Linked DNA regions of Saccharomyces cerevisiae S288C. The gene in region 1 interacts genetically with each later gene. Each region holds a gene or a part of one and is shown in the gene's direction. Other genes may lie near its edges.

The links.
Region 2: mutations in ICL2 (region 1) and SKM1 together harm fitness more than expected from each alone (negative genetic interaction), as found in Saccharomyces cerevisiae (2 studies listed by BioGRID).

What each region holds. Positions count from the first base shown.
Region 1 is NC_001148.4:566,477-570,555, reverse strand, and holds ICL2 (methylisocitrate lyase ICL2), read left to right. Parts: upstream 1-1,559; coding exon 1,560-3,287; downstream 3,288-4,079. Other genes in the region: REC8 (Rec8p), read left to right, coding at 1-1,220; HAL1 (Hal1p), read left to right, coding at 3,885-4,079. UniProt on the Saccharomyces cerevisiae protein: Catalyzes the formation of pyruvate and succinate from 2-methylisocitrate during the metabolism of endogenous propionyl-CoA. Does not act on isocitrate.
Region 2 is NC_001147.6:102,489-107,103, forward strand, and holds SKM1 (putative serine/threonine protein kinase SKM1), read left to right. Parts: upstream 1-1,837; coding exon 1,838-3,805; downstream 3,806-4,615. Other genes in the region: non-canonical poly(A) polymerase PAP2, read left to right, coding at 1-741; PTH4 (Pth4p), read right to left, coding at 829-1,437; Rab GTPase-activating protein MSB4, read left to right, coding at 4,222-4,615. UniProt on the Saccharomyces cerevisiae protein: May be involved in cellular signaling or cytoskeletal functions. May play a role in morphogenetic control.

The sequences.
Region 1 (4,079 bases):
TGAATTTTGAGAACGATAATGAAAATAACAGTAATGGAGGAGAAGATACATCAGTTGAAAATGAAGGGCCGGTAGCCAATCTCAAAGACTACGAATTGGGGTTAGAAGCGCAGGCTTCTGAAGAAGAAAACGATCTTCAACAGAAACTTAACACCAGAATGCAAAGAGGACATCGCGCCGATGTAGGTGGGCAATTTTCTAAGGTACAATTTGATGCCAAAACGAGTTATCCAAATGAAGTTCTCAAATTCAACCATGGAAATTACAGTCACTTAATGGAAAAAAACAGGATTAGAAAACTAACCGGCCAAAATTTTCTCACCTCTAACATAAGTAGTTTGGTAAGGTCATGTGGTGAGGAAGAATTTTTTTCAACAAATTGGTTAAGTATATTTAACGACTTTTCCAATATAAAGACTAGCGAATGGGACTTATATCCCCAAGGTTTTAGTTCAGTTGAAAGAGGGAGAAAAAGAGCACATTCTTTAGTATCAACCCAAAGCTCAAGTAGTACCAGAAGTCACGAATATGGTAGGAAAAGTTTTCGCAATAATAAGAACGATAATTATTCTTCCGATATGGAAAATGATAATTTACTTTTAAACCTTGAACAAATTAATGAGGATTTGGAAGATGGGCACTATATTGAAGAAAACTCTCAAGGTAACATCCTAGATTTTAATTTGAATCTACCTCCTTCAAGTTTTGGAAGAAGTCATACCAGAAACTCAACCAGGTCTAGTGGTTTCAATGAAGATATAGTTGGTGCTCTCAGAAGGAGAGTCGGGCCATCTGAACAGAATTTTGCCGAGGAAGACGATTCCAGCAACAGTTGTTTTTCTGATGGCTCTCAGCAAAATTTGCAGCAGGACAAAACAAATTTTCAAGACGTCATTCTGGATTATCAAACTAAAAAATTCTACGATTACATCAAAGAAAGATCAATTGTTGTCGGAAGAACAACGCGCTCCAATCCGCCTTTCAAGAGAAAGATGCTGTTGGTTGACATCATCCCAAGCCGCATGGGCGAAGCTCAAACGGGAGCTAACTTTGATGATGTAGAAAGAGGTGTCAGCAGACAGATAGCCGCCAGTGCCTTCCTATCCTTACTGAATTTGGCTACGAAAGGGATGGTCAAGTTGAACGAATATCCTGTTGCAGATGCGGTAACTAAAGATCTTAAACTGAGAAGAGAGGACGAAATAATTGTATATGCCTGAATTTTTATTTTCTCCTTCCATATGAGCGACAGCGGTTACTAGCCGCTGTCCTCAGGTTAATGATCCAAGTCCGAGATCCGGGCCGAATATGCTTGCGGGGAAAGAAATAAAAGTGCATTGGAGAAGAAAAGGATATGCTCTTCAATTAGAAGCGCCGAAACACTAACATCATGCTAGCGATATCATACGTACACTATATAATGTAAAAAATGGGCTTAAGAATAACTCTCTTATTTCTTAACTTTTGTTGCGGTTGAAGAGCTTATAAAAGTACTAGTGGCCTAAAGAAGCTACAGCGCCGATAATAATATCGATTTCGACTTTTCTAGTATTTCGCCGATGATTACAATGATTAACAACAAAACTTTCAATAGAAAAACTACGGGAACACTGAAGAAGCTGGTTTTGTCATCAGACAAGTCACTGCGAAGATCTTTCAACGGGGCAAGCAGTACTAAAGACTTCGTGTTCTCGGAATCAAGTAAAGTAGAAGAATGGTGGGAATCAGCCAGATTTAAGAATATCAGTCGTCCATACTCAGCTACGGATGTTGTAAAGCATCGGGGCAGCCTTCCTGCTAATACTTCAATTTATCCTTCATCTTATCAAGCTCGAAAGCTGTTCAACTTACTAGAAGAGAATTTCAAGAATGGTACTCCACTTCACACGTTGGGAGTTATCGATCCTGTACAAATGAGTCAGTTGGCCCGTTGCAGAAATATCAAAGTTGCTTACATATCTGGTTGGGCTTGTTCTTCCACATTAGTTGGATCTACAAATGAAGTATCGCCGGATTTTGGCGATTATCCATACGATACTGTGCCGAATCAAGTGGAGAGAATATTCAAGGCGCAGCAATTGCACGATCGAAAGGCTTTCTTGGAGGCCTCCATCAAAGGTTCTACTCCTGTTGATTATTTAAAACCAATTATCGCGGACGCAGACATGGGTCACGGTGGCCCAACGACTGTAATGAAAGTTGCTAAGTTGTTTGCGGAGAAAGGGGCTGCTGGTATTCATCTTGAAGATCAGATGGTGGGAGGCAAAAGGTGTGGCCATCTAAGTGGGGCTGTTTTGGTGCCCACAGCAACACATCTTATGAGATTGATTTCCACCAGGTTTCAATGGGATATCATGGGGACAGAAAATTTGGTTATTGCAAGAACAGATTCCTGTAATGGTAAGCTGTTGAGTTCAAGCAGTGATCCGAGAGACCACGAATTCATTAGGGGTATAATAAGAGATAACGTGGTGCCTTGGAGCGAAAAATTGATTGAGATGGAGGACAAAAAAATTCCCAACTCCGCCATTGCTGACATGGAAAAAGAATGGTACCATGAAAATGAGCTGTTTACATTTGAAGAGGCCTTAGAAAAGCAGTTTACGGCAAGCGAGTTTGAAAGCTATAAAGAAAAGAAGGAAGACCTTATGGTAAACAAGCTGGGTAGAGCATACCTAAGCTTAAGAGAAATGAAACTTTTAGCTCAAGAAGTGACACCACTAAAGAAAATTATATTTGACTGGGATGCTCCGAGGACCAAAGAGGGATATTACATGTTTAACGGTTGTATTGAAGCAGCTATTAGAAGATCTTTGGTGTTTGCCCCATATTCTGATATGATTTGGCTGGAAACGAAAACTCCTGACCTGGAGCAGGCACGCTCATTTTCAAGAAAAATTCATAAACAACTTCCAGCTACCAAGCTAGTATATAACTTATCTCCTAGTTTCAATTGGAGCGCTCACGGCTTTGATGATAAGGCATTAAAATCCTTCGTATGGGACTTGGCAAAAGAAGGCTTCACGTTGCAACTGGTTTCCCTTGCCGGTCTGCATTCAGATGGAGTATCATTCTGGGAATTAGCCAATAGCTTCCAAAGTGACGGAATGAAAGCATACGTCGAAAAAGTGCAAAAACGGGAAAAGGAGACTAATTGTGATATCATGACACACCAGCTATGGTCTGGTGCAGAATATGTTGATTCCTTAATGAAAGTTGTCCAAAACGGTGCTTCATCCCAAACTTTAAGTACATCTGGTGAGAGCTTTACCGAAACGCAATTTTGAATACGCTTCAAGAAGATAAAAGTATAAATAATACATATTGCCAGCAACTTAGTCACATATCTCTTTTATCTCTATTTATCCTCTTTTTATTAATTTATGACCACGATCACTATATTTAGTTCGAAAGTTAGTGTTTGTTTTGCCAAGATATCCTCGCAGAAACAGTTTTACTTAAAGTTTCAGGTGTTGCGTGGAATGCCCCTGCTAAGCTGTCGTGTCGCGCTCTTCCCCGCGTTTGTTTCACATTATATATCATATGGCGTATGACGGTATGGGTGAAAATAAGCGTAGGCTGGTTGTGTGTATTTCTCTCGCACTTTGAAAGGGAAAAATAAAAATAGAGTCTATTAGGAAGCTCACATATGCCGGGAAAAATTACGTAAAGCATCAAAAGGGAAAGAAAATATAGGGAAAGATAAAACAAAAAGCAGAACGGTATCAGGCATTCTTGTTTTAGCCTTTATGTACGATATGGCGTTTATTATGGAGAATATTGAGGTATTCAACTATTTAATACTTGCTATAAATTCTGCCAAACTACTAATCATTCCGTTTATATAACTCAAGAAAAGAGAAATACAGAAACAAATAGATCAGATGCATTTCAAAGATTTAGGATTGCATGACTACACTCTCAAAAACTTGATGTATGAGAATAATTGCTGTAAATTTTATGATGCCGTGGATGAAAACAACATCTCATATGTTTTAAAATTTGTTCCCTCAGATGTGACTTCGGAAGGGGATACTTTCCCATTCGTGGATCGCTTTCAAGTAAAGGAAGGTGTTTTT
Region 2 (4,615 bases), on another chromosome or scaffold:
ACCGGTGGTCTTGGTGGGTTTAGTATTATATGTCTTGTCTTTTCCTTTTTGCATATGCACCCACGTATAATAACTAACGAAATAGATCCAAAGGACAACTTGGGTGTGCTCCTGATAGAGTTTTTTGAACTTTATGGGAAAAATTTTGGTTATGATGATGTTGCACTGGGATCATCGGATGGATATCCAGTATACTTTCCAAAATCGACATGGAGTGCTATTCAGCCTATTAAAAATCCATTTTCATTGGCCATTCAAGATCCAGGTGATGAATCAAATAACATCAGTCGAGGGTCCTTTAACATTCGAGATATTAAAAAGGCATTTGCTGGTGCTTTTGATCTGTTGACGAATAGATGTTTTGAATTACATTCAGCAACTTTTAAGGATCGATTGGGGAAAAGTATATTGGGAAACGTGATCAAATATCGTGGAAAGGCAAGAGATTTCAAGGATGAAAGAGGTCTAGTACTGAATAAGGCTATTATTGAAAATGAAAACTATCACAAGAAACGTAGCAGAATAATTCATGATGAAGATTTTGCCGAAGATACAGTTACCTCCACAGCCACCGCTACCACAACAGATGATGATTATGAAATAACGAACCCACCTGCTAAGAAGGCTAAAATAGAAGAAAAACCTGAAAGTGAACCGGCCAAGAGAAATAGTGGAGAGACATATATCACTGTCTCTAGCGAAGATGATGATGAAGATGGATATAATCCTTATACCCTTTAATATGTGCCTTTTTGTTTAAATGATGCACTGAACTGTACATCACTGTGTACCTGGATAGAATGTGTGTTTAAATATGCGTATTATGTATTAATAATTGAATTTAATTTTACTTCTGTTTTTCTTTTTATCGCTGTGAACTTTTTTGTCAAGAAGTCGCTCTTTGTTGGCTTTCTCTTTTATTTTATTCCATTTCTTTGAGGTCTCAGCAGTGGTATCATTAGGAAATTGGCACGTTTGCCGAATTTCTTGAACCAACTTCTCGAAGCATTTTAATTTGTTGGTTTCCCTTGACCTAGTTTCATCAGATTGAATTACTATAGAATCGCTGCCCTTAGCGTAGTATCGAAACCTGCCGCTACTTAAGATGTTTCTCACTTCCTGAGGAATCCAAGCACAGTTTGATAAACCAGAAAGTGTCAAAGTACATTTACTATTTACCTTATTAACGTTTTGGCCTCCTGGCCCGCTGGCTCTATCGTAACGTAAAATAAATTGATTTAAGGGCAAGCCCGTTACGTTAAGTGCTCCTACCCAGTTTCTTGCCTGGACGAAGTCAGATTTCTTTCCGATCTTTTTATTACTAATCAATCTGACTGCCTCTTCAACGAACTGTTGTTTCTTGCAGTGCAACATTGGTTGAAGTACAAACAGAGGGGAGCGCCCAGTAAGTTTAAACTTTCCCATCAATGTTGTCATATGATATTTCTTGGCGTGTTTCCCTTCAATTTACTGAAAGGCAAACAGTAATGTTAAGGATTCTGTTGTTTTTTTTTACCGTATACGCTTGATTTCGTCAGCCCCTTGGAAGACACGAAATGTTGACTATCCGCTTCCAGATCTGGTAAAAGATTGATTTGCGATAATTCCTGTTGTTGTCATCACGGGTGTTATGGTTTGTTGTAAACTAAAAAAAGAATGAAGGAACAGGACGCAGATTCATCTAATCAAGTTCTGTGGGGAGGTCCCCAGTGGTAAGTGAATAAATATTCGCTTTATGAAGACCTACACCTGGTTTTCTCAATGGATCAGACGATAAGTACAATTTTTGTAGAGCTATACTCGAGGACAATCAGACAAAACGAAAGAATATCTTTCGATGAAGGGCGTAAAAAAGGAAGGATGGATATCTTATAAAGTTGATGGATTGTTTTCGTTCTTATGGCAAAAGAGATACTTGGTACTGAATGATTCGTATTTAGCATTTTACAAAAGTGATAAGTGCAATGAGGAACCAGTCTTATCTGTGCCTTTGACTAGTATAACAAATGTTAGCAGAATACAATTGAAACAAAATTGTTTTGAGATTCTTCGGGCAACAGATCAAAAAGAGAACATATCCCCCATAAACTCCTACTTTTATGAATCAAATTCCAAAAGATCGATATTCATTTCCACAAGAACCGAACGGGATTTGCATGGCTGGCTTGATGCCATTTTTGCCAAATGTCCTCTCCTTAGTGGTGTTTCATCACCAACAAATTTTACACACAAAGTACACGTTGGGTTCGACCCAAAAGTGGGAAACTTTGTTGGAGTACCTGATAGTTGGGCTAAACTACTACAAACCTCAGAAATTACGTACGACGATTGGAACAGAAACTCAAAAGCTGTTATTAAAGCACTGCAATTTTATGAAGATTACAATGGACTGGACACAATGCAATTCAATGATCACCTCAACACAAGCTTAGACTTGAAACCTTTAAAAAGTCCGACAAGGTATATTATAAACAAGAGGACTAATTCCATCAAGAGATCAGTAAGTAGGACGCTCCGAAAAGGCAAAACAGATTCCATTTTACCCGTCTATCAATCAGAACTTAAACCATTCCCAAGGCCTAGTGATGATGATTATAAGTTTACCAACATAGAGGACAATAAAGTACGCGAAGAAGGCAGGGTGCATGTTAGTAAAGAAAGCACGGCAGATTCCCAGACAAAGCAGTTAGGAAAGAAGGAACAGAAAGTCATTCAAAGCCATCTGCGAAGGCATGATAATAATTCAACATTTAGACCTCATCGACTAGCACCATCTGCACCTGCTACAAAAAATCATGATAGTAAAACTAAATGGCATAAGGAGGATCTCCTTGAACTTAAGAATAATGATGATTCGAATGAAATAATAATGAAGATGAAAACTGTTGCAATTGATGTAAACCCAAGACCGTATTTCCAACTGGTAGAAAAGGCTGGTCAAGGAGCAAGTGGTGCAGTATACCTGTCAAAGCGAATAAAATTACCTCAAGAAAATGACCCGAGATTCTTGAAATCACATTGCCACCGAGTCGTAGGCGAAAGAGTGGCCATTAAGCAGATACGTTTATCTGAACAACCAAAGAAACAATTGATTATGAATGAACTCCTAGTGATGAATGATTCGCGCCAAGAAAATATCGTTAATTTCCTTGAAGCCTATATTATTGATGACGAAGAGTTATGGGTGATAATGGAGTACATGGAAGGTGGCTGCTTAACAGATATATTGGATGCTGTAGCAAGGAGCAATACCGGTGAGCACTCATCGCCGTTAAACGAAAACCAAATGGCATATATAGTAAAAGAGACGTGCCAAGGTTTGAAGTTTTTGCATAACAAGAAAATTATCCATCGAGATATCAAATCTGATAATATCCTTCTGAATTCCCAAGGGTTAGTGAAAATTACAGACTTCGGTTTTTGTGTGGAATTAACAGAAAAAAGAAGCAAGCGTGCCACAATGGTAGGTACTCCATATTGGATGGCACCTGAAATAGTGAATCAAAAGGGATATGATGAAAAAGTCGACGTTTGGTCTCTAGGGATAATGCTTATTGAGATGATAGAAGGTGAACCGCCTTACCTAAATGAGGATCCTTTGAAGGCGCTGTATCTGATAGCTAACAACGGTTCACCAAAATTGCGTCATCCAGAGTCAGTGTCCAAGCAAACCAAACAATTCTTAGATGCCTGTTTGCAAGTGAATGTCGAATCAAGAGCATCCGTGAGAAAACTACTAACGTTTGAATTTTTGTCAATGGCATGCAGCCCTGAGCAGCTCAAAGTATCCTTAAAGTGGCATTGAAATTTAGCTTTTTTTTATTTAGGAGAAACAATATATATATATATGTATATACGTATGTATGATTCATATTTTAATCGCATTTTTATTTCATCTAAAACAATTACTCTTTTTGATTATTTATAGAAAAAAAACAACAATGATACGTTTGCTTCGCGTTATGTCAATAGAAAATGTAAAAGGAAAAAGAATGTGTTGCTATTCGTTAGGCGGATTTACGGATGGAAGACATATCTATGAACTGAGCTTACAAACGCTTTTAGCGGGGACAGTTAATCATTTTACGGATGATTTTATAAGAATAAACTATTTTTGAAAAGTTAGGATAGTATTTTGTACATTTGGCACCGAAGTAATTCAAAATCGAGGAAGACTCGCACACTTTTACAATCACAGAAGGCAAAACCCGGCATGACAGGATGATAATGTCATCAACTATGTCGACAGAAGCCGCCTTGGTACCGAACGAAAGTGTTTTTGACACAGTTTCGTCATTCAACGAAGACGATGCCAATTATAGCGTTCTTGATTTATACGATGACGACGATGAAGGGGATGATAGTTCTACAGTAGAACGAAAAGAAATATTGACAACACGTGAGCTTGAAAAAGCAAAGGCGTTTACCAGCTTAATCATGGCAGATCCTGAGAATTTTGATAGATATGGATTTAGCAAGAAAGGATATTTCATTAGTCAGGAAGAATACGACAAATGGTGGACAGAATATAATAGATACACCGAAAGAAGAAAAAAAAAGTGGGAGAACTTTCTTCTTAAGAATAAGATTGAGCTCCACAATGATAATCCTCTAG